3 linked regions of the Arabidopsis thaliana genome follow. The protein of the gene in region 1 purifies or fractionates together with the protein of each later gene. This does not show direct contact. Each region holds a gene or a part of one and is shown on either strand. Other genes may lie near its edges.

Region 1 (5,279 bases):
TTTTAAGGTATGTGAAACCTTCTTTTGGGGATTCATAGGTTTTTCAGACAATCCACAGTTTGTGTCTATACAACATTTTGGAGTCTTGCTACTAAGTTCTTTCTATACTCTTCTATTCTCTTTCCACGTGAAATTTAATGTCTCCTCCTCTTTCTGCTTTTTTCAGGGAAATTAATAAGGCACTATGTGGCTTTTTAAATTGTAGCAAGGCTTGGGAGCACCAGAATATATTCATGGATGAAGGAGATAATGAAATTCAGCTTGTCCGAAACGGCAGAGATTCTGGTCTTCTGCGTACAGAAACTACTGCGGTTGGAATCATCCTACAAACCTTTAGTACCTTTTTTCATTTGTAGCCAATTTGAATTAGCTTTTGAAAAATAATGTTTCAACTTTTTTTGTTGTTCTCTACTGTTTCTGATGCAGTCACACCGAACTCCACTAAATGATGTTGAGATGAATAGAGAAAAGCCTGCTAACAATCTTATCAGAGATTTTTATGTGGAAGGAGTTGATAACGAGGATCATGAAGATGATGGTGTCGCGACAGGGAATTGGGGATGTGGTGTTTTTGGAGGAGACCCAGAGCTAAAGGCTACGATACAATGGCTTGCTGCTTCCCAGGTGCTTTTATACATCATCAGCTAAAAGTAATGAAATTATTATTTTCCTGGAGTATACAAGTTGAGTACCAGTAGGCCATAAGAATAAAAACATATAGATCTTTCTATGAAACCACAGACTTAGTCTGTTTTGACTGTAAGAAACACTCCATTGTCACTTTTGACTTAATTTTTCTAGAATGAACCAAAGCTTCGACTTGGATGATGAGATATATAGCGATTTTCATTTGATGCTTCTTTCTTAACTCGGTCATGGCTATATTTCAGACTCGAAGACCATTTATATCATATTACACCTTTGGAGTAGAGGCACTCCGAAACCTAGATCAGGTAACCTCCGATACTCTTTTAAACTTCACAATTCTAGAACCTCTCTTACAGTGTCTTCTTTTTCTCCACTGACATTTTACTTAGAATTGGGTTTGTAGTAAGCGGATAGAGCATCCAGGGTATAGTACTTTTAAGGTCGTCTGTGAACATATCTTGATTTTGAAACTGATACATACTCTTACAAGGATAGGTGACGAAGTGGATTCTTTCCCATAAATGGACTGTTGGAGATCTGTGGAACATGATGTTAGAATATTCTGCTCAAAGGCTCTACAAGCAAACCAGTGTTGGCTTCTTTTCTTGGCTACTTCCATCTCTAGCTACCACCAACAAAGCTATCCAGCCGCCTTGACTCTGCAAATTCTCCTTCATTAACTTGTTTGATGCATTCTCATACTGTATCTCTGCATTTTCCCACATGGGTGTGTAAAAGTGATTATTTTCCTCTTACAAGCTTGAATCCGTTGTAAGCTCGCCAGTTCTTGACCTCAAGCGTAATTAGTTTAGTGCGTTTGCTGATTTATGATTTTGGTCAAATGTTTGAATCAGGCTTTTGTTTTAAAGAAAAAAGTTCTTTTTGTTTATCAGTTGAAATTACAGGGTTATGCTGGAATCTTCTGGGAAAGTTAGTCCGGGAAAAGTTTATGGTCCACCAACATTTTGTTGTCAAGAGTAAATTTGACTCGGTCTTTCTGGAAAACGTGTTCCTGATTGACTTTGGTGCCATCTGTTAAAAAGAAAAATCAAATGGGTTTCTTTGTCCTTAAGCTACCAACGGACTAAGTCATATAGAGATACAACATCAAATGTCCATATCCTTAAATCATTTGCAAACTTTCATCTCCTAAGTTTTCTAATCTCCTTTTCAGGCAATAAGGATGGAACTGAGGGCAGATCTTAGGTCAATTCTTCAGTATTTGCCTCTTGTGGCTCAGTCTTCATCACTAGTTTGGCCACCTTCTGTCGAAGAAGAGCTCCAAACAATATCTAGAGGACCGAGTGAGTCAATGGTTAACTCGGGAGAGGCTCTTGCCTTGCATATCACGAATATGCGGAAATCTCTCTCCTTGAATGCATCTGATCTCGCCCCTTATGCATTACAAGGGTATGGTCTTTTCTTTGACAAGGTAACAATTCCTCTGTCCTTCTTTCATCCACTTTCTTAGTGTTTTGTGTTTTTCTTATTCATTTTACTCTTAGGGGGAACATTTGTCATGGAGCATAAAGTACTCACAAAAAAATTTCTTCTTGTGATGCAGAAAATTTCCAGAGAAGAGTCGGCAAACTTTTTTGGTGAGGTGGTTCCTGCATTGTGCAGATTACTTCTCCAGTTACCTTCCATGTTAGAAAAACACTATCAGAAGGCAGACCATGTTCTTGATGGAGTTAAGTCCGGGCTTCGTCTATTAGGCCCTCAAGAAGCTGGAATTGTGTTACTTAGCCAGGTATACTCTTTCAGTCCAAACAAAGACATGCCTTGTGTTGCATTGAATTAAAGATTGATATAGTAACTGTCTAGTACTCTTTGTAAATGAAATTTTGCTTGATTTTTGAAACCAAGCTTCGTTCCTTTATTCTTCAACTTTTTCACCCCTTGATGTATTTTGCTACCTTCTGCAGGAGTTGATTGCAGCTCTTCTTGCGTGTTCCTTCTTTTGCTTGTTCCCTGAAGTTGACAGAAGCTTAAAGAATCTTCAAGGAATCAACTTTAGTGGATTGTTTTCGTATGTGTCTTCATCATATTTCTTAAAAGTTACAACCATATATGCCCCAAAGTCACAAATCTTTCTTGTGTTTTTTTAAGGTTTCCGTATATGCGTCACTGCACGAAGCAAGAAAACAAAATAAAGTGCCTTATCCATTACTTTGGAAGAATATGTCGATGGATGCCCACCGGCTTTGTTTCATTTGAGAGGAAAATTCTTCCACTGGAATACCATCCTCACTTTGTTTCTTATCCCAAGGCTGATTCGTGGGCTAATTCTGTCACCCCACTTTGCTCCATTGAGGTATCATAGAAACACTCCTAGTTAAGCCTTCTTCGCCGTTGAATCCATTTCTTTCAGATGATTCATGAGTATGCTTTAGGTTATTCTCCTTTTGATCCATTTTTTATTGGAGTAGATTCACACCTCGGGAGCTATAGAAGATCAACCTTGTGAAGCTCTTGAAGTAGATTTTGCAGATGAGTATTTTGGAGGCCTTACTCTGAGTTATGATACTCTACAGGTCTGACTTGTACTTCCTTTTCTTCCATCTCTTCTAAAAACTCTACTATCTCATCCACTAAATAAGTTATAAGTTTTTCTTATTTCAAAATATGTTGAACATGTCAAAATATACCTATGTAGGAAGAAATAAGGTTCGTGATCAACCCGGAACTTATCGCTGGCATGATCTTTTTGCCTCGTATGGATGCAAATGAAGCAATTGAGATTGTTGGTGTTGAAAGATTTTCAGGTTATACAGGGTAAGTACCAATGAACTGAAGTAGATGTGTTTATTGGGTCTTCAAAGTTGATATTAAGCTTATTATATAGTCTTCTCTCTAAATCCAACTCATGGTGGCTCCATTCAGGTATGGGCCTTCGTTCCAATATGCTGGTGATTACACAGACAACAAGGACTTAGACATTTTCAGGAGGCGAAAAACAAGAGTCATAGCTATAGATGCCATGCCTGACCCAGGAATGGGACAGTACAAACTTGATGCCCTCATTCGGTAATCAAAACTTGTCTTTCAGCCAGTTTTTCATTCTTTCCTTTTTTTTATTTTGTTTGTGAATTACTCAATTGCTCCTTTTGTTTCTGTAGAGAGGTTAATAAGGCTTTTAGCGGATACATGCATCAATGTAAATATAATATCGATGTTAAGCATGATCCTGAGGCATCATCTTCGGTAAGACCACAATTATGCTCCATACATGAATTTAGCATACATGTTAAGCATTTTGTTTTTCTTGACTAGACCAAGATTAAATTTGTTTTCGCAAAGCAGCATGTTCCTCTTACATCAGATTCTGCGAGCCAAGTTATAGAAAGCTCTCATAGATGGTGTATCGATCATGAAGAGAAAAAGATTGGTGTAGCTACAGGGAACTGGGGCTGCGGTGTGTTTGGAGGTGATCCAGAACTAAAGATCATGCTTCAGTGGCTTGCCATTTCACAGGCATGCTTCTCTGTTTTCATCAACTTATCTTACAAAACATAATTATCATTCTATTTAACTGCGAAAACAATCTCGATCTACTTTCTCTAGTCAGGAAGACCCTTCATGTCATACTATACCTTTGGCCTCCAAGCCTTACAAAATCTCAATCAGGTTATTAGAATCCTAATTTATTAAACAATGAAACCACTCTTTCTCCCATTTCAACACTTTAAAAACATGCTCTATACATATATGTGTGGGTGTTCTTTCAGGTGATCGAAATGGTCGCTTTACAAGAAATGACTGTAGGAGACCTATGGAAAAAACTAGTTGAGTATTCTTCAGAGAGGCTCAGCAGAAGAACATGGCTTGGCTTCTTCTCGTGGCTCATGACCTCACTGTCTACCTAGAGTAAAAATTGAGTCAAAGTTATATAAAATACTATTCTTGTCTGAATTATGGGAAATGTATTATCCATATCTCTGTTTGTTTCTGACATATTAAGTCTAAAGCGTTAGATTGCTAATCCATTGTAGTGAAGTCAAATAATACTCATGATATAAAGTCTTTATGTAATTTGGTTAGTTCCAATCTTACGAGGATTATATATCTTGTGAAACAAAGGTAAGTGGGAAATAAAACTTGCCAAAAACAAACATCATCCGTTCAAACAGAAAGGAACGATATAGGGAATGAAAATCAGCACACTCTAAAACAACAGCACTCAGACTGTCTACACTAAGACCATTAACTAAAAACCAGTACTCAGAAAATTGAGTTTAAAAGACCAAAAAATAAAATAACACCTAGATAAAAAGAACAAAAATCCTAAAAAACCATCTTCGAGAGTCTGAAGAAAACTACTTGCAAGGCATAAAAAAAACCAAAAAACCAAGAGAAACTAATCACATAACATAGCTGTTTTTGCCAGGAAGTGACAACCGGAGCTCGAGGTCCAGCTCTGTGTCCGAGACTAGTGAGCTCCTCCTATTTGCCTCTTGTGAAACCTCGAGACAAGTCGTCTCCTCGGACACTTTAGCCAATAAATTTAGGCACTCCCAATCATTATCTGCATGAACTGGAAGTATTCTGTCACCCTCTTCTTGAGCATCAGCATGAGATATATATAGCTCGTCAGAATCTCTAGTAACAACCGGAGGCGAAGATGGAGTTGG
Region 2 (6,874 bases), on another chromosome or scaffold:
CAATCAATCAATTAAAAACTCTCAATTTTGGATTCACCAATTTGTTATAGCGTAAGAATCCCGATAGCAAAAACCCTAATTGAGCTAAAACCAAAATCTGTAGATTATCTTCTTATCACTAAAGTTCAAAACTTGCAATTTCACACAGTGGCGGAGAATTAGTGAAGAGAAAGAATAAAACCTCGAAATCCTCGGGAAGCTCGTAGTCGTAGTTATCGACGCGGTCATAGCGATTGTTTTTCTTAGACTCTTCCTCAGGCACACCTTCTTCATACTCATACAAATCGACGTTTTCATCGTCGGAATCGATCTCATCGTCATCTTCGTCAGAGTTCAAAGGACGTTTCTCATTGGCAATAGTCTTCAGGATTGAATTAGGCAAATGAGGACCTTTCCTCTTCTTGTTCTTAGCTAGGGTTTTCGAAGTAGATTTTCTCTTTTCTCCCATGGCTGCCTCTGCTTTTTTTTTTTTTTGCCGTTTAGTTTCCGATTGAGATTTTCGTAGGGTTTCTTCTCTTTCGCTTAAATACTAATAAAATCGAGTTTCAGAGAATAAGAATTTCTCAATCATACCAACTAAACCGGATAAAATTGGGTATGGTTTGCGGTTTAGCGTACCAATATACGAGTGAACCGTGCAAAATCAGAGATGAAGGAGTTTGAAAGAAATACAATAAAACGCTGATTTTTGGATAATTAGTTGATGTTCAAAAGCTAATATACATAAGTTTTAGTGCTTGTAGTTGAATTTGACTTGGATCACATAACGCATCTTGATTTGTTCCACATTGTAGACTATATATTCGTTGTACAACAACATCCCCTGCAAAAGTTATATAAAGTCAGTTTATGAAATTTGAGAGAGTTAGATTTTGTGAATGTGTGTTGAAGCAAGACAAAAACAAAAACCTTGGAGCATGAACGTTCCACTGGTTTGCCAAGTGGAACAACAACACCGTCTTCTAGTGTTTGAGCCTCTGATGGGTTTGGTGCTGTTTTCCCCACACCTTTTGTGCTGCAACCATCAAATAACAAATCAAGGTACAGTACAAAAATAGTAAATCATAATTCATTGCGGTTTGAGATAAGGAACTTGTGTGAAATATGAATGAGATTATCTTCATACCTTAGCTTTCCCGGGGGTAGATTATCCGCGTTATAATCTGAATACAGAAGTTCATTCATGTCTCCCAAAGCAACCTAGAGAAGTTTTTATCGTTAGGAAACATAAGGATAGTTATGTTGAATGGCTATAGAGGTCCTGTAGTTATACAGTAGTTTTGTTGTTTTCTATATGAATAGAGACAAGAAGCGAGTATACCTCGCAGAGGAGCAGAACGCCATCATTAGCGCCAGTGTTGGCATAGCAATAGTTCGCACTCTTGGAGAACATATCCGCAAAGTAAACCCCTTTTCCAAACATGTAACCAGTTACAGGCGCTTCAGGAGGAGCTATTCGCAGACCTGCTTGGTGTCTCATAGTTGTTCATTTTACTATGCAATTGAAAATCCCCCAAGAGGAGAAGAAAAAAAGTAGTTACTAAGAGGAAAAAGAGTAACATGTTACCTTGAGATAAAATACCAGCCCAGTTAGTGAGACGTGAACCGTGCCAGAGTAGCATCCTGTTCTTCGAACTTGAAAACTGCCAAGAAAAATTAAAGTCTCACAATGCCAAAAACGAGAAATCAGAATAATGTGTATGGTACTGACAAGCTCGAAATACCATAACATACCTGTTGGAATCGATCAGCTTCAACAGCTCTCGAAGCTCTAAATAGTTGAGCAATCTCAACCGTATATCCCGAATGCGTCTTTGCATGAGTGTTCTCCATGTAATTAGCAACCTGATTTTGGTTTTAAGGAGTAAACACCAAAAGGTTTAAAACACAGACATGTTTGAGATGCTCGAGTATCAAAGATATTTGTTCAAAGTTCACAAAACCGAAAATTTACCATAGAGAACTCCTCTGAATCATTTCCTACTGGCGTCAAACCACAATTAAGTTGCTGGTAGTGATAATATAAAGGATCATCCTACAGCCATTGCAAAAAATAATGTCATATTCTTAGAGAACTATACGACGGAGTGATTTCATGCCTTCAAACCACATAGACTGACTGAATTACCTGCAATCCCGGGTCGACGGACAACAACTTTGTTGCGAGTTCAATCTCACCTAATGCTTCAACCTTACAAAAAAACGATATATTAAAAACTACACAAAACATGTAGCGACAAACCATTGCTTTTCTGAAGACCAAAACTAGTCAAGTAAGGAAACAGTAGGAAAAATTACCATTTCAATTTTCTGTTTCAACTTTTGAGGAGTGTCTATAACAAACTGGCCTGTTACAGCTCGGAATTCAGATGTTAGTGAATGTTTAGTTATATATATCGTAAACCTTAGCACAGATGAACTTACTCATTTTCTTAAAACCAAAATCATGAGGTATCACTGTGTAGAACTCTCTGCATCAATGATAAACAAAGTTAGACTAGTTCAAATCTAATTTCTTTATGGGAAACAGTTACATAATCAACTAAATGCGAAAAATTGTCTAGCAATTAACCAGATACATACCCACTCAGTTCCTCAAGCCTCGTTCTATCATACCGATCAATCACCTCCGATATTCTCTTCAGCACTTCATAACCCTAGACATGTGGAAGAGGAGATTATATCATCTGAAATCACACCAAACTATAATTTACGGAAATGAGACCAAACAGACTGTTTACTATCTTTACCTTTGAAATTGTGGACTTGCTTATCTTGCCGAGTGGCAATTTGTTAGCGTTATATCCTTCAATTCCAAATTTAGAAGATGTATGAAAAATCAGCAAGAAGTAAAGAAACCAGCAAAATGGCAAACAAATGGATAGGACAAAAGATAGGAAGTACAAACGCAGGTAATAGGACACCAAAACAAAGAGATAATGTATCGACATATAAAAATCACTGTTAATCTGCCAATGGATGCTCTCACTTGAATGAAGTGATCAAAGTTAGACTCAAACCTATTTCCATCATATGCTGTGCCATCATGCTGACATTACATATAAGAGAGATGAACTTGGCAACCCGAGTATCTAGTTTTGATTGTTCAGGTTTAACTTCGGAAGATGAACTCGGAATATCATTATTGACCTGAGAAAAAAAACAATCGTGAACTCTGAGTAAAGTGCACATTTGAACGAAGAGAAAAAAAATATATAATTGCAATTAAACGGGAAAAAGAAAAGTAGATATGCACTCAAAAACCTCATTCCAGCAGATCCCTTGGATCATACCACACAACAAATAGTAAGAAGAGAAAGAGAAGTGAGGATTCCAAAACACTCACCGGTGAATCATTTTCCTCTTTTCCGTAATCCATTTCGAGCCATGTATAGGACTTGGGATGTGGGATAAACTCCTTTCTGTCAGACCAATAATTCTTTGTCTTGTCATTGAACTTATTGGTAAATATCTCTATCGCACGATCCCATGAGTCATAAGGCCCATCTAGCTTACTTTGTCCTTTCACACCAACTCTTCCCCATCTGGTGTAAACCATGTATGTCTTTTTACTATCCGACTCTGCACAATGCACAATAGATAAGATAGATCAATGATGATAGTATCTGGAACCAAGAAGAATGACAAAGAGTCATCAAAAGCTGCTTCAAGAGGTTTCCAGTACTCGAACAAGACAAGTATCGTCTCATTAATCTTGGAAAGTAACCAGGGAAATTATTGTTGAAGGTTTTGGAAGACTGACCTAGGACTTGTAGGACAAAGAACTTGTTATTATTATCCCTGACATTTGTCTGATTTAAGATAGCATCATAAACATCATCACCCTACAACATTCAACAAAAAAAGAAACAGTTTCTAACAACATTCATGAACACGATAAGATGCAAAAACTCAAGATTAGGTTCCAAATCCTCACCCTTTGTAGAACATGGTACTGACTCTTTATCTCATCAGGAATCCACTGATCTAACACCGCTGCACCCTTCTTTGTCGCGGTTACGATTTTCTCTTCTTTCTTTTCTTCTTCAAAGCCATTGTTGTCATCTTCAGCTTCATCTGTCCCTTAATACACAATGACAATAACAACATTAAAAAGACTCAATTTTTACCAAATTTCTCAATAGTCCAGAGAATTGAACAAACCATTACTGGATTTGACTGGTGCATTGGAAACGTTATTAGCATCATTGCAAAGCCTCTCAAGAAGATCCTTTTTGGTTCCTGTTGTATCTAAGCCTCTCTTAATAGCTTCCTCACGCAATTCCTTCACAATCATCCCACGAAATTCGCCAATTGCAATCAATTTGTTCGATTCATAAGTATCATTAGAAGAATTTCTTTTCCTCTTGCTCTTTGATTCTTCCTTCTTAGTGTCTTCTGCGATAGCCTCTTCAAGCCTCTCCACCTACACGAAACACCCAATAAACAAATTCGAATATCAACAAAATAGAAAGAGTATTTCAATGCAATTCAGAGAAATACCAGAACGGCTTTGACTCCAGTAGTACTGAGTCCACGCTCGGCGAGTTTTAAACGGAGTTCGTCGACTTTGAGCTTGTTCGCCATTTTCGTCTTCTTCTTCAGGAGAATAGTTCGTCGGAAAGGGAATGAGACTGAGGAAGTATGGTTTTCGTCAGAAGTGAGTTCGCGCGAGCATTTGAAGAGTCTTCTTCTTCGTTTTCTTCTTCATCGATGGCTTCCCTTGAAAGCTTTAGGGCTTTTTGAAAAATTATTTTAAATTTTTTTGACAAAAGTTCTCGTTCATATTTGTGGATATTTCCCATATAACTTTTTAATCTCCAAAAGACCCCAAACTTTTGGATTGATTCTTAAATCCACCCCTGACCTTTTTAAAATAGTATTTATTTCCTACCATTGATGATGGCAAGCAATAGAAAATCATGAAAGATAAAAAAAAAAAGGTTAAAAATCTAGTAACAGGCAAATACTTTGAAAAGGAGTTGAAATTTTGTACATAGGTTTAACTCTTCTATTAAAAGAAACAAAAAATCTCTATGTTTTAAAATGTACTACTAATTTATAATTTAAGAACATTTTTCTGAAAATTTTGCTGGTTGTTTAACGAAAAGAAAAATATACAAATAGTTTTTGGCTGTAATGCTACGCCACTACTCACTTTTCCAAGGACGTGCATACAAATTACCGTAAACGGATTATAGGACTTGTGTTGACTAATGACACAATTCTTTTTTATTAAAAGAGATTAGTCTCCTTGAAGAAAAAGGGACACAAATTATTCGTAACATGTTAATCAAACCAAGGTCTTAAGTGGCTACCAACCGCATACGAGTGTTGAGCCGAGCAGTGCTGTGTCGAGCCGGGCTGGATTTGGCATTTGGAATATATGAAATGGGCCAACAACCCAAAAGATAAAATTTCGTTACTTGGACAGTAAAAACTAAACATGCATGTTTATTAGCCCGTAATCTGCATAATCACAACTTACGAAGAAGACATAAGAATCAACAGGCCCATCATAAAGTGGGACTAACGATTTGGTTTCCACTATTATTTGGCCCATATATTGTTAATATTGTACACTTCAAATATTATTTAGTTAGAAAAAAAAAAAAAAAAACTCTTGTAAAACTGGATGGTTCTAGTTTAGTTTTAAAAAATGGTTAGATGATAACGATATTAATATACGATAAAGTTTATATAAAATATCTTTTCATAACCAAATTTACATGACAACTAACATTCGGGTAAGCCATGTAAAAGACGAGATAGAGATTTTGACCAAAGAAGAAAAGTAGAGAGAACATGCAAAAGCCAAAAAGAAAACATAGCCAAATGGTTGAGTGGTGTAGATGGACCGAACCAACAGACATGTTCTCAGTTCATATACCAACCGCCTAACATTACAGCCTGTCCCCATCCCCTATCTTTATTTTTCTTTTTGGCTCATTTAGCTTCAACTTTTTTTAATAGGTGTGATTAGAACATACTAAAAAAAACATATGTTTTAACTTATATTATATGAATAAAGTGTTGTTTTTAATAGTTTATATTTCTATTACAAGTACAATATATAGGATATTTTGGTTAACAATTTTAAATTTAAAAGATATTGTGAGTACAAATCATTAAGCTTAACACAAATGTTCATTGCTTCTTAATTCTTACAATCGGAAAATTTGGACAAAAAATCTAGACTAATCTCCAAAACATTGTGAAAAATTGGGGGTTTTTTTTATCATTTAAATTGTCTATAGTGGTCAATCATTATTAAAAAAAATTGTTTTTTGTTGAAATTTTAAATTATAAAAAAAAAACACGTTTATACATAAAATGCAAAAACTTTTCTTAAACCAAATTACAGAGAAAGGCTATCACCATCCTTGTCTTGATGCCAACCACACTTGTAATCCCAAAATACATACTTAAACTATACTATACTAACATGAATTGGTTATACGATTATCTATCTAGTTAGCTACATAATTCATATAATTAGTTTTTTAAAATATACTTATGTAATGATAGTAACTAAAAAATATACTATCTCGAGAAATCCAACCAAAATGCTATGATAGTATATAAAATAAAATGAAAGAAAGAGGAACCAAGTTGTGAAACCATTTACCAAGAAGAAGAAGAAAAAAACAAGATGGTCGAGTCTCGTGATAGTATGAAGCTGGGGCCGAAACCACGAATCAAAGAACCATTTGACGATGCAAGTGGTCATCGATAACCAATCAATAGAAACTCCACCGCCTCAAAATATCATAGTGCTATTTAATTTTTCATACTATCATTTATTGTAGGCTATAACATATTTTTGTATTGTAGATGGACGGCTAGTACACGCAAGTTAGTCAATAAACTTTTA
Region 3 (7,886 bases), 190 kb from region 1:
ACCATTTTCTCTTTGAGAATAACCACTTCTTCGATGATCTTTCATAGGTACAACATCAGATCTGAACAAGTGTCAAGTCTTAAGAAGTGTCATTACTGAGAAAAAGCATAACAAAATGTAGTGTACGCTGTTTTAAAACCAGAAACATCTACAACGCCAGAGAGTTAAATCTGTGACTACATGTTGGATTCGATTTATCAAAAGACATTTAGTTACAAAAGTTAAGTCTTCGTGTTGGATTCGATTTCCCAAAAAAACATTTAGTTAACAGAAGTGACGTCTTCTTGTTTGGTTCAGGCTCATCTCTTGTGCTTAAACCTTACTTTCAACAAGAACTGCAACTTCACCTGTTCAGAGACAAAGCAATCTTTGTCAGACATGTACACACCATAAAAGAATCAAACACAGAATATGTTGCAAAACTAATAGCTAAAGCCGTATTCTAAAGCATGAGCTTTCTAGGGAATTCAGTTCTCATTCCCAAGTACCCGATAAGAACAAAAGAGGACTTTAGTGTGTGCGCAATATCCCATTGTTGTAAGGAACAAGGAAGATTATTTTGGAAACACAAGTTACCTGGGCTGTATCGTAGACGATATACTCATTGTACATAAGCTCAGAAGCCTTGACCTTTGATGAAACAGGTTTTCCACAGGGAACAGTCACATCACCTCTCCACTTGGCAAACTCGGAATCTTGAGGCACTTTCTTGCCGAGCCCTTTGGTCGAGTGTTTCCCTCTCGGAGGTTTATCCATATACTAAAGAATTGAGGACATAAGAGAAAGTCATATATGAAGGTAAGTAATATCTTAAGTTGTTCATATAGTTTTCAAGATAAGAACCAAATGGTTAGTAGCATAACCTGAAAAACTGTAATATGGGCTCACCTTAGCTTTTGTTAGCTCATGTATTTCTCCCAATGCAACTTCACTCAGAAGCATTAGACCCACCGGATTTTTCTTACAAGTGTAGCAGTACTGAGCACTTTTACTGACAAGGTCAGCAAAGTATATCCCTTTTCCAAACTGAAACATGGGGTTTAAAAAAAGTTCAGATTCTCTAACAAGTTAACTAGATAGTGAAGAACTCTCAATTGATAAGATCCCCACAAATAAGACACAGATAGAGTACTGACCATGTAACCAGTAGCAGGAGCTTCTGGAGGTGCAATTCTCAGTCCTTGGTTCAATATTCCAACAAAATTCGTTAATCGAGAACCTGAAAGCAGATTTATTTTGGTTAAACCAAGGGTTTTGATGATCAACCAGCCAAATATATAGAATCAACCAAACAATGAAATTTCTTGTATCTGTTTCCCAAAGCATGTAAATGTGGCTGGTTGCAGTTGGCTTACCATGCCATAGGAGCATCTTATTGCCAAGTTTTTCTCTGTGGGGAGCATATTTATCAAACTCTCCTTCTCTTTCAAGAGCAAAAACTTCCTCTAGCTCAAGACTCCACTCCTGACAAATCCAGTGACCAGAAATTGAATTAGAAAATTATGATAAACAAAACATGAAAAGGGATAAACAGAGCTTGAACTCACTGTATGCGTTGGGGCATGAGTTGTGTTAAGATACTTCTCGATTAATCGATAATCTTCGCTATCATGAGGAAGTGGTGAGATATCGCAATGCAGCTTCTTATACTTATCATCAAGAGATTCGGTGCTATCAACATCAAAGCCAACTATTCTTGAAGCTATTTCGATATCCTGCAGAGCCTCGAGCATTTTCACCTGTGACACACAGATACAATACCTCTTTGTAACACAGAAAAAGAGGCTAGGAATTAAAAAACAACACCATGGTTCATGTTCTATGGCAAGTACCTTTGACTTAAAGTCATCTTCATCTCGGATAATATGAGGATGAATAGAAGGGATCATGGTAAAAAATCTGTTACTAGCATCAACAAGCAAGCTTTCTTTCATAGTAGGCTGGGGGTCGCTTTCAGTCAATAGCCTCTGTATCTCCGTCAATGCCTCAAAACCTTTAGAAGAACAAACAAGAAAAAACATAATAGAATGTAATGTAGAATTAACATTTTATTATTTTTATCATATAAAAAAGTAAACTAGAGAAGTAGGAGTTACCCTTCTGTATATTATGTTTGCTGAGCTTCCCAAGTGGCATCTCTGACATATTTATCTCGAACTCCATCATTGCAGATCTGCGGAAGTAATTATTAGGTTACTTCATACAGTTTCTAGGGAGAGAAGAGGAGAAGAAGACAATGGCAAATAAGTTTCTAACCTGTAAGTTTCCACATCAAAAAGCATCTTCATCAATTCTATTAATGATGGAGCAAGGTTGCTACTGGTCTGAAATGGCTCTTTTTTGGCTACTTGCTTATTAACTCCATAATCCTAAAACAAACGATACAAAAGAGTTTATTGAACGATACATAAGAGAATCTTAAGAGACAAAGATATAGTCATATGGATGCTTACAATGTCCAACGGGAGAAATTTTCCAGGTTGTTTCTGGAAATTCGTTTTTTGTTCCCAAGATTCCCATGTGTTTCCGGTTTTTTCAAGAAATAGACGTTTGAATTCGTGAACCGCATCAGACTTTGACATTTCCTCCACTTTGTTACCACCAATCTTTTCATTTCCAACTCGGCCCCATTTACGAAATACGTAACAATCTGAACCTTTATCTTCTTGGATTATCTGGAGTATGTAATAACTATTGATACCGGTAGAGAGATCAGACATGCTCAGAGTTGTGTTATAGATACTGTTCCCATCTTCAAGAATGTGACAGTGCTCTTGGAGGCCAGACGCTTCATGCACAGCGCTTCGTCCTTTTACTTTAACAGTGACAAGGCTCTCACTAGTGTCTTCAATTTTGTACTTGTCAAATGGAAGTTTCCTCTGTTTTTTAAAACAATCAACCAAATAATCCTCTCTCACGATTGCCACTTTCATCCTCCTGCCACACATTTATCAACTCCAGCGTTCAAAGTGAGAAAAAATAGTGTGACAAAGTTAAAGAGTATCAGCACAATGAAGGCAATATTCTACCTTGCCTTTCTCATTTCAGCGTCTCTGATATCTGTCAGTCCACAAACAACCAAACAGCTTGTACCTACAAATTTGTGAAACAGAGATATTCAAAAGCTAAAACTAGTGTCACAATAATCAAAAATAGACACTCGAGTTATCCATACCTTTTTTAACATTAGCATGAAACTCTGCACCAGCTTCCTCAATTCTCTTCTTCCATGGTTGCTGCAAAATGATCCCATCAAGCAATGAAGTGCAAAGATAGTCTACAATATAATTTTTGACAGAAGAACATACCCTTTCCTTAGTATTTCCAGCAATTGAAACTTTAAGATCTGCTAGCCTTTCACTCCTTGAGGAGTCAGTTGCATCTTTAGAACCTTGACCCTGAGATGTCTCGCCAGACAATACAGGACGCAGAATACGTTTTGGCTTCACACTCTTTTGAGACTTATTCCACTGCAAGTAATCAAAATATAAATATTAACTTCATGAGTAATATATACCACATCTAACCTAACCCATACCAATATCAACTCTACAAAAAGACTGGTTTACCTTCAGAAGGAATTGATTTTCTGTTTCGTCAGGGATTTTCCACTTCCCTTTGATGCGGTCTGGATCCAAAGTGGAATGAGAACATTTGCTCCATTCTGAGATGTATCCATGGCATCGGTAAAGTCCTCCGGAGAAAGAAAGATGCCCAGAGCACATTGGGCAGAGAGCGAGTGGGCCAAACATCATGCCATCAGCACTAAATAGAAACAAATAGAGAGGTTAGGCATATGATTATGCATCGGTTTCTCTAATCCAAATTACCTTTAAGAAGATCCACACAACAGTAACAGAAATAGAACAAAAGACAAGCAATTAACTTCCAGACAGATTCGCAAAGTAATTTACCATTTATCACGCAGATCAAGTTCAGATCCTCTTGTACTTTGTTCATTTACTTCAAGCATTTCCCGCAACTCAGCTGATGTTACATATTTTTTCAGATCATCCTTCAGGTCCCACAATTCCTTAGTTTGGGCCTCCATTTCCTTTTCTTTGCTACAAGGTTGTAAAGCACCACTTGTAGACATGTCAAAACTACTTTTTGCTAGTTTCGACTTCTCGTTATCAACAGAATCATTTTTTCGTTTTGTGCCTGCTCTTGAATTTGTTTGACGTGCTTCTGCTGTCTCTGTCCCAGTTGGGCCAAAATAAATTAACGGAAAGATCAGACTAAAGTACTGCAAATCAGGATCCTGTAACAAGGAAATCAATATATTACCGTACACCTTAAGACTCTTACCAGTTTTGGCTGCCGGCAGAGCTTTCTTCACTAAGGGAAGAAGAGCTTCTTGGTCTGAGTCTGGTATACTTCTCCATCCAGACAAACTTTCCAGTTCAGTAGAGGAAGACATTTCAAGGAAACATTTAGCGTGATGCCACATCAAACCTTTGTTACCCGGGCCTTCAGGCTTGGAGAATATACGTACCTGGAAAACAAAAATGCAAAACAAAACCCTAATGCATATCGAACCAGTTCATATAAAACGCTACAACCATGACAGATGAAGTAGAACAACAATTTACCTCTCCTTTCAAGATCTTTTCGCTACACTTTCTGCAACCGGCACGAGAAGTTTGTGACACTTCAATCCCATATTCTAGTTTGGCATTATTAGCGGTACTGCTCGTGCTTGTGCCTGTGCTTGTGCTTGTGTTACTCCCTGCTCCAGATTCGACATATTTTCTAATCTTTTGCTGATCTTCCCAACGAAGTGATTCTATGCCTTCAACATCATCAACTCTAGCAAAATCAAGAGACAAAAACGAGTTAATAGCCAAACACTTTAAATATTTGTTCAAAGTGACATTGGTTTTACATACGATTTTATCTGCTTCGTCTTCTTTAGTATACAAGAAGCATGGTTCCACATCTGTGTGAGAAAAATAAAAGTACAAAGAGGATAGTCAGCTAGGAAAACTTCATGTCAACTGGAGCTAAAAGCAACATATAATTAACATGGTGAAGTGAAGCAGCATGAAGAAGGAACTACATAGTGAAAAGAAGAAGAGAAGAATGACCACTGCCATTCCATTAAACAACAAGCATAAAAGCTCATGAAAAACACAGCTGATTGCAATCATAGCATTGGCGGCATAAAGATATCAAAACACAGCTAAACAAACGATTATGATCATCCAAACAGAATAACGTCAGAGTTCCAAAGGGAATAATAGGAGTTCACATACGTCATTGCAGAAAAGCACGAACCTTTTGGCAATCATCAAGTACTAAATAAACACACAAGTGACTCAAATTTAAGCTTCAAATGCTCTTTTATCACATTCGATTAGGCACAAAAGGAGGAAAGAACATAATGTGAGGAAGGTTAACATCTATTTAAGAAGTTAAAAAAGTTCCAATTTTGAGATAGAAAACAAGCTTGACACACACACACACACAAATTTGCAAGGAATGTAGAACAGTGGAAGCAGAGAGAACAGGATTGAACCCTCAAAAATAACCAATTTCAACCAAATAAACCCAATTTGTCTGACAATAATTCTAAAAGAATCAATTTTGTCCTCAAAATCAGAAAGAAACATTAGAACGCACACTAACAAGCACGAGAGTATAGTACAGAGACAGTTCCAAATTCTGGGAGAGAAAAGAGAGTCATACGGGCATGATGCCATCGAAGTGAGTAGATTGAACCAACTTTCCAAGACGAAAGTTCTCCTTGTTAATGACGGACTTGCAAGTTTTACATGAAGACCTCGACGACTTTGCATACTCCGCCCTCCACGGCTTATGTGGGCTTGCCATTTCTCCGGTAAGAGACAATTACACAATGCGAGAGTACTATTTATACGTATGGCTTCTCTATCGAAGATGATTATGATGACGACGGATTGAGGAATGTTTCAGGTGAGAGTAAAGCTTCTCGGCGACGCTTTTCCAGATTGTGTTTCTACCGTTTAACCCTTTTTCCCTTTTTTACCCTAAAAAGTCTGTTTTAAGATTATTGCTTTCAATTATTATTTTGATAATCAGATTTATTCAATGATTTAATTTGATATCAGATTAGTAAATCAATAATTTGCACCCTCCGTTATGCAATAGACGATGATTACTATCACTTGTTGTTTTATATTTTTGAGACAGGAAGAAAAGATTATGTGAACATAAAATTATGGCTATAAAATGACAATAGGGAATTGAAAAAAGAAAAAAGAAAATAGCATTGGTGAAAAATATATTAACAAAAAAAATCAACAAATCATGGACGAATTCGCAGAATCCGTCGAACGATTGAATCATGGTGGTTGTATATTTCGGAAAACATCTGTACATTTCTAGTTTACATTGGAACAAAAATGAGAATTTTGACCACGTAAGAGCTACATTGCTAAATTAAATCCGACATGTTTTGTGTTAGTTTTCGAAACAGCAGTTAGCGTCTCTTTGAGGTTAGAAGCTTGGTATAGGGTAGAGATTGTTCGTAATAACGACGATAAGGTCTCGAGATTTTTGGAACTGTGACAATTACGCGAATGTCCATCTTTAATTCGGCGTTCAGAATCAGTGTTTCTTCTTGAAAAACTGCTAGTTGAATTTCTCATTTAGTTTATTTGTTGTGTTTTTGTTTCGATTTTTTTTTTTTTTAGCTTTGCAGCCTTTTTTCGCTATAATTATATGATTGCATTTTCCATCAAAATTTTCAGAATATTGTACTAACAAAAAAAATCCAACATGTACTACAAGAAGCAAAAAAATATGAAATTGATCACCATAATTTGTCAGAAAATCAAACCGGGAATACACTAATCAAGTTGGACCGTAATAACATCCCGGGTGCATTTTCCTCCTATTTGCTTAAAAATTCGTGAGACGCGTGATCTTCTTCGCCCTTCCGTATGAGCAAGAAATCTTGCGGTCCAAGACAAAACCGGTTTACGTGTTAACTTGTTTAATCAGTCTCAATCTTTATTTTCTAGTTCAAATGTCGAGAACCAATTTTTTCCAACTAAAAAGTCAATCCATAAGAATCCAAGTAAACCCTCCCTGACGACAAAAAAAAAGTAAACCCTCCCTCTCTATATATTTAACTCATATTCATATCTTTCAATGCGACACAAAAGAGTAAACGAACTTACTACAAATACTTTTTAGTACAAAGAAACAAAGTTAAAGTGATGATTATGAAGAATTAAGTAATCTTTGGAGTGATTATGCTTGCCATTTTTGTGGTTTTCTTGGACTCCACAAAAGTAGAAGCCACGAGGATGTTAAGAATCACCTTCGATAGTGATATCCGGTTCGTGTTCGAGTCCTTGCAGAAGGGTACGGTCCCTGGATCTGGTCCTAACCGTTGCTCTCACATCCCCAAAGGCTCGGGTTCGTGCCACGGATGATCCCTCTTGTGAATCTCAAGCTTGATCTCAATACCAAAATTTGGACTATGGGTGGAACTTTTTGTATTCATTTTTGTTGTATACGAGAAACTATGCTTTACATGTTCTTGTAAGTTGTAACAAAGCTATGAGAGCAAATTTGTTTGAAAGTATAAGTTTGTTTAACAAATTTGTAATAGTACTGGAAATGTTTGATAACCGGAATAATAGTCTTCTTATTTGGTTTAAGAGACGATAAATGATTCAGATTGTATAAACCGGTTCATATTGGTTCGATTGTATAAACCGGTTGAGATTGGTTCGAGTTGAAATTTGTTCTTCGTTGGCGAGAGATCCTTGAACGCTTAAACCCTCCATGGTTTTGGATTGAACATTTCCCCTGAGATTTGGGAGTGTCCTTAAACCCCATACACTGATCGAGCTCAAGAAGAAGGAGAAGCAGAGAAATGGTGAATAAACATTGGA

What was found.
Region 2: the proteins of PARG2 (region 1) and PARP2 purify together in Arabidopsis thaliana (affinity purification with western blotting, with the first as the bait; one study listed by BioGRID). This does not show direct contact.
Region 3: the proteins of PARG2 (region 1) and PARP1 purify together in Arabidopsis thaliana (affinity purification with western blotting, with the first as the bait; one study listed by BioGRID). This does not show direct contact.

The regions. Positions count from the first base shown.
Region 1 is NC_003071.7:13,546,025-13,551,303, reverse strand, and holds PARG2 (poly(ADP-ribose) glycohydrolase 2), read left to right. Parts: upstream 1-1,732; 5' UTR 1,733-1,831; coding exon 1,832-2,080; intron 2,081-2,212; coding exon 2,213-2,398; intron 2,399-2,573; coding exon 2,574-2,677; intron 2,678-2,757; coding exon 2,758-2,962; intron 2,963-3,077; coding exon 3,078-3,182; intron 3,183-3,304; coding exon 3,305-3,423; intron 3,424-3,531; coding exon 3,532-3,675; intron 3,676-3,767; coding exon 3,768-3,852; coding exon of another isoform or gene 3,853-3,921; coding exon 3,922-4,122; intron 4,123-4,212; coding exon 4,213-4,275; intron 4,276-4,376; coding exon 4,377-4,514; 3' UTR 4,515-4,760; downstream 4,761-5,279. Other genes in the region: TEJ (Poly (ADP-ribose) glycohydrolase (PARG)), read left to right, coding at 1-7, 167-311, 427-624, 891-953, 1,144-1,305; AT2G31862 (B3 domain protein), read right to left, coding at 5,010-5,279. UniProt on the Arabidopsis thaliana protein: Poly(ADP-ribose) synthesized after DNA damage is only present transiently and is rapidly degraded by poly(ADP-ribose) glycohydrolase.
Region 2 is NC_003075.7:1,047,817-1,054,690, reverse strand, and holds PARP2 (poly(ADP-ribose) polymerase), read right to left. Parts: upstream 4,926-6,874; 5' UTR 4,588-4,925; coding exon 4,504-4,587; exon of another isoform or gene 4,427-4,503; coding exon 4,165-4,426; intron 4,084-4,164; coding exon 3,938-4,083; intron 3,846-3,937; coding exon 3,764-3,845; intron 3,583-3,763; coding exon 3,347-3,582; intron 3,151-3,346; coding exon 3,021-3,150; intron 2,807-3,020; coding exon 2,751-2,806; intron 2,658-2,750; coding exon 2,584-2,657; intron 2,472-2,583; coding exon 2,425-2,471; intron 2,349-2,424; coding exon 2,299-2,348; intron 2,192-2,298; coding exon 2,129-2,191; intron 2,036-2,128; coding exon 1,955-2,035; intron 1,846-1,954; coding exon 1,735-1,845; intron 1,644-1,734; coding exon 1,568-1,643; intron 1,465-1,567; coding exon 1,322-1,464; intron 1,201-1,321; coding exon 1,127-1,200; intron 1,016-1,126; coding exon 910-1,015; intron 824-909; coding exon 731-823; 3' UTR 505-730; downstream 1-504. Other genes in the region: AT4G02400 (U3 ribonucleoprotein (Utp) family protein), read right to left, coding at 182-448. UniProt on the Arabidopsis thaliana protein: Involved in the base excision repair (BER) pathway, by catalyzing the poly(ADP-ribosyl)ation of a limited number of acceptor proteins involved in chromatin architecture and in DNA metabolism.
Region 3 is NC_003071.7:13,353,747-13,361,632, forward strand, and holds PARP1 (poly(ADP-ribose) polymerase 2), read right to left. Parts: upstream 6,005-7,886; 5' UTR 5,833-6,004; coding exon 5,689-5,832; intron 4,940-5,688; coding exon 4,890-4,939; intron 4,810-4,889; coding exon 4,593-4,809; intron 4,496-4,592; coding exon 4,309-4,495; intron 4,198-4,308; coding exon 3,915-4,197; intron 3,766-3,914; coding exon 3,570-3,765; intron 3,471-3,569; coding exon 3,309-3,470; intron 3,237-3,308; coding exon 3,176-3,236; intron 3,094-3,175; coding exon 3,030-3,093; intron 2,938-3,029; coding exon 2,454-2,937; intron 2,370-2,453; coding exon 2,257-2,369; intron 2,174-2,256; coding exon 2,097-2,173; intron 1,994-2,096; coding exon 1,833-1,993; intron 1,740-1,832; coding exon 1,548-1,739; intron 1,465-1,547; coding exon 1,356-1,464; intron 1,220-1,355; coding exon 1,137-1,219; intron 1,027-1,136; coding exon 889-1,026; intron 760-888; coding exon 577-759; intron 348-576; coding exon 300-347; 3' UTR 2-299; and 1 more. Other genes in the region: AT2G31335 (uncharacterized protein), read left to right, coding at 7,239-7,421; emb1381 (embryo defective 1381), read left to right, coding at 7,868-7,886. UniProt on the Arabidopsis thaliana protein: Involved in the base excision repair (BER) pathway, by catalyzing the poly(ADP-ribosyl)ation of a limited number of acceptor proteins involved in chromatin architecture and in DNA metabolism.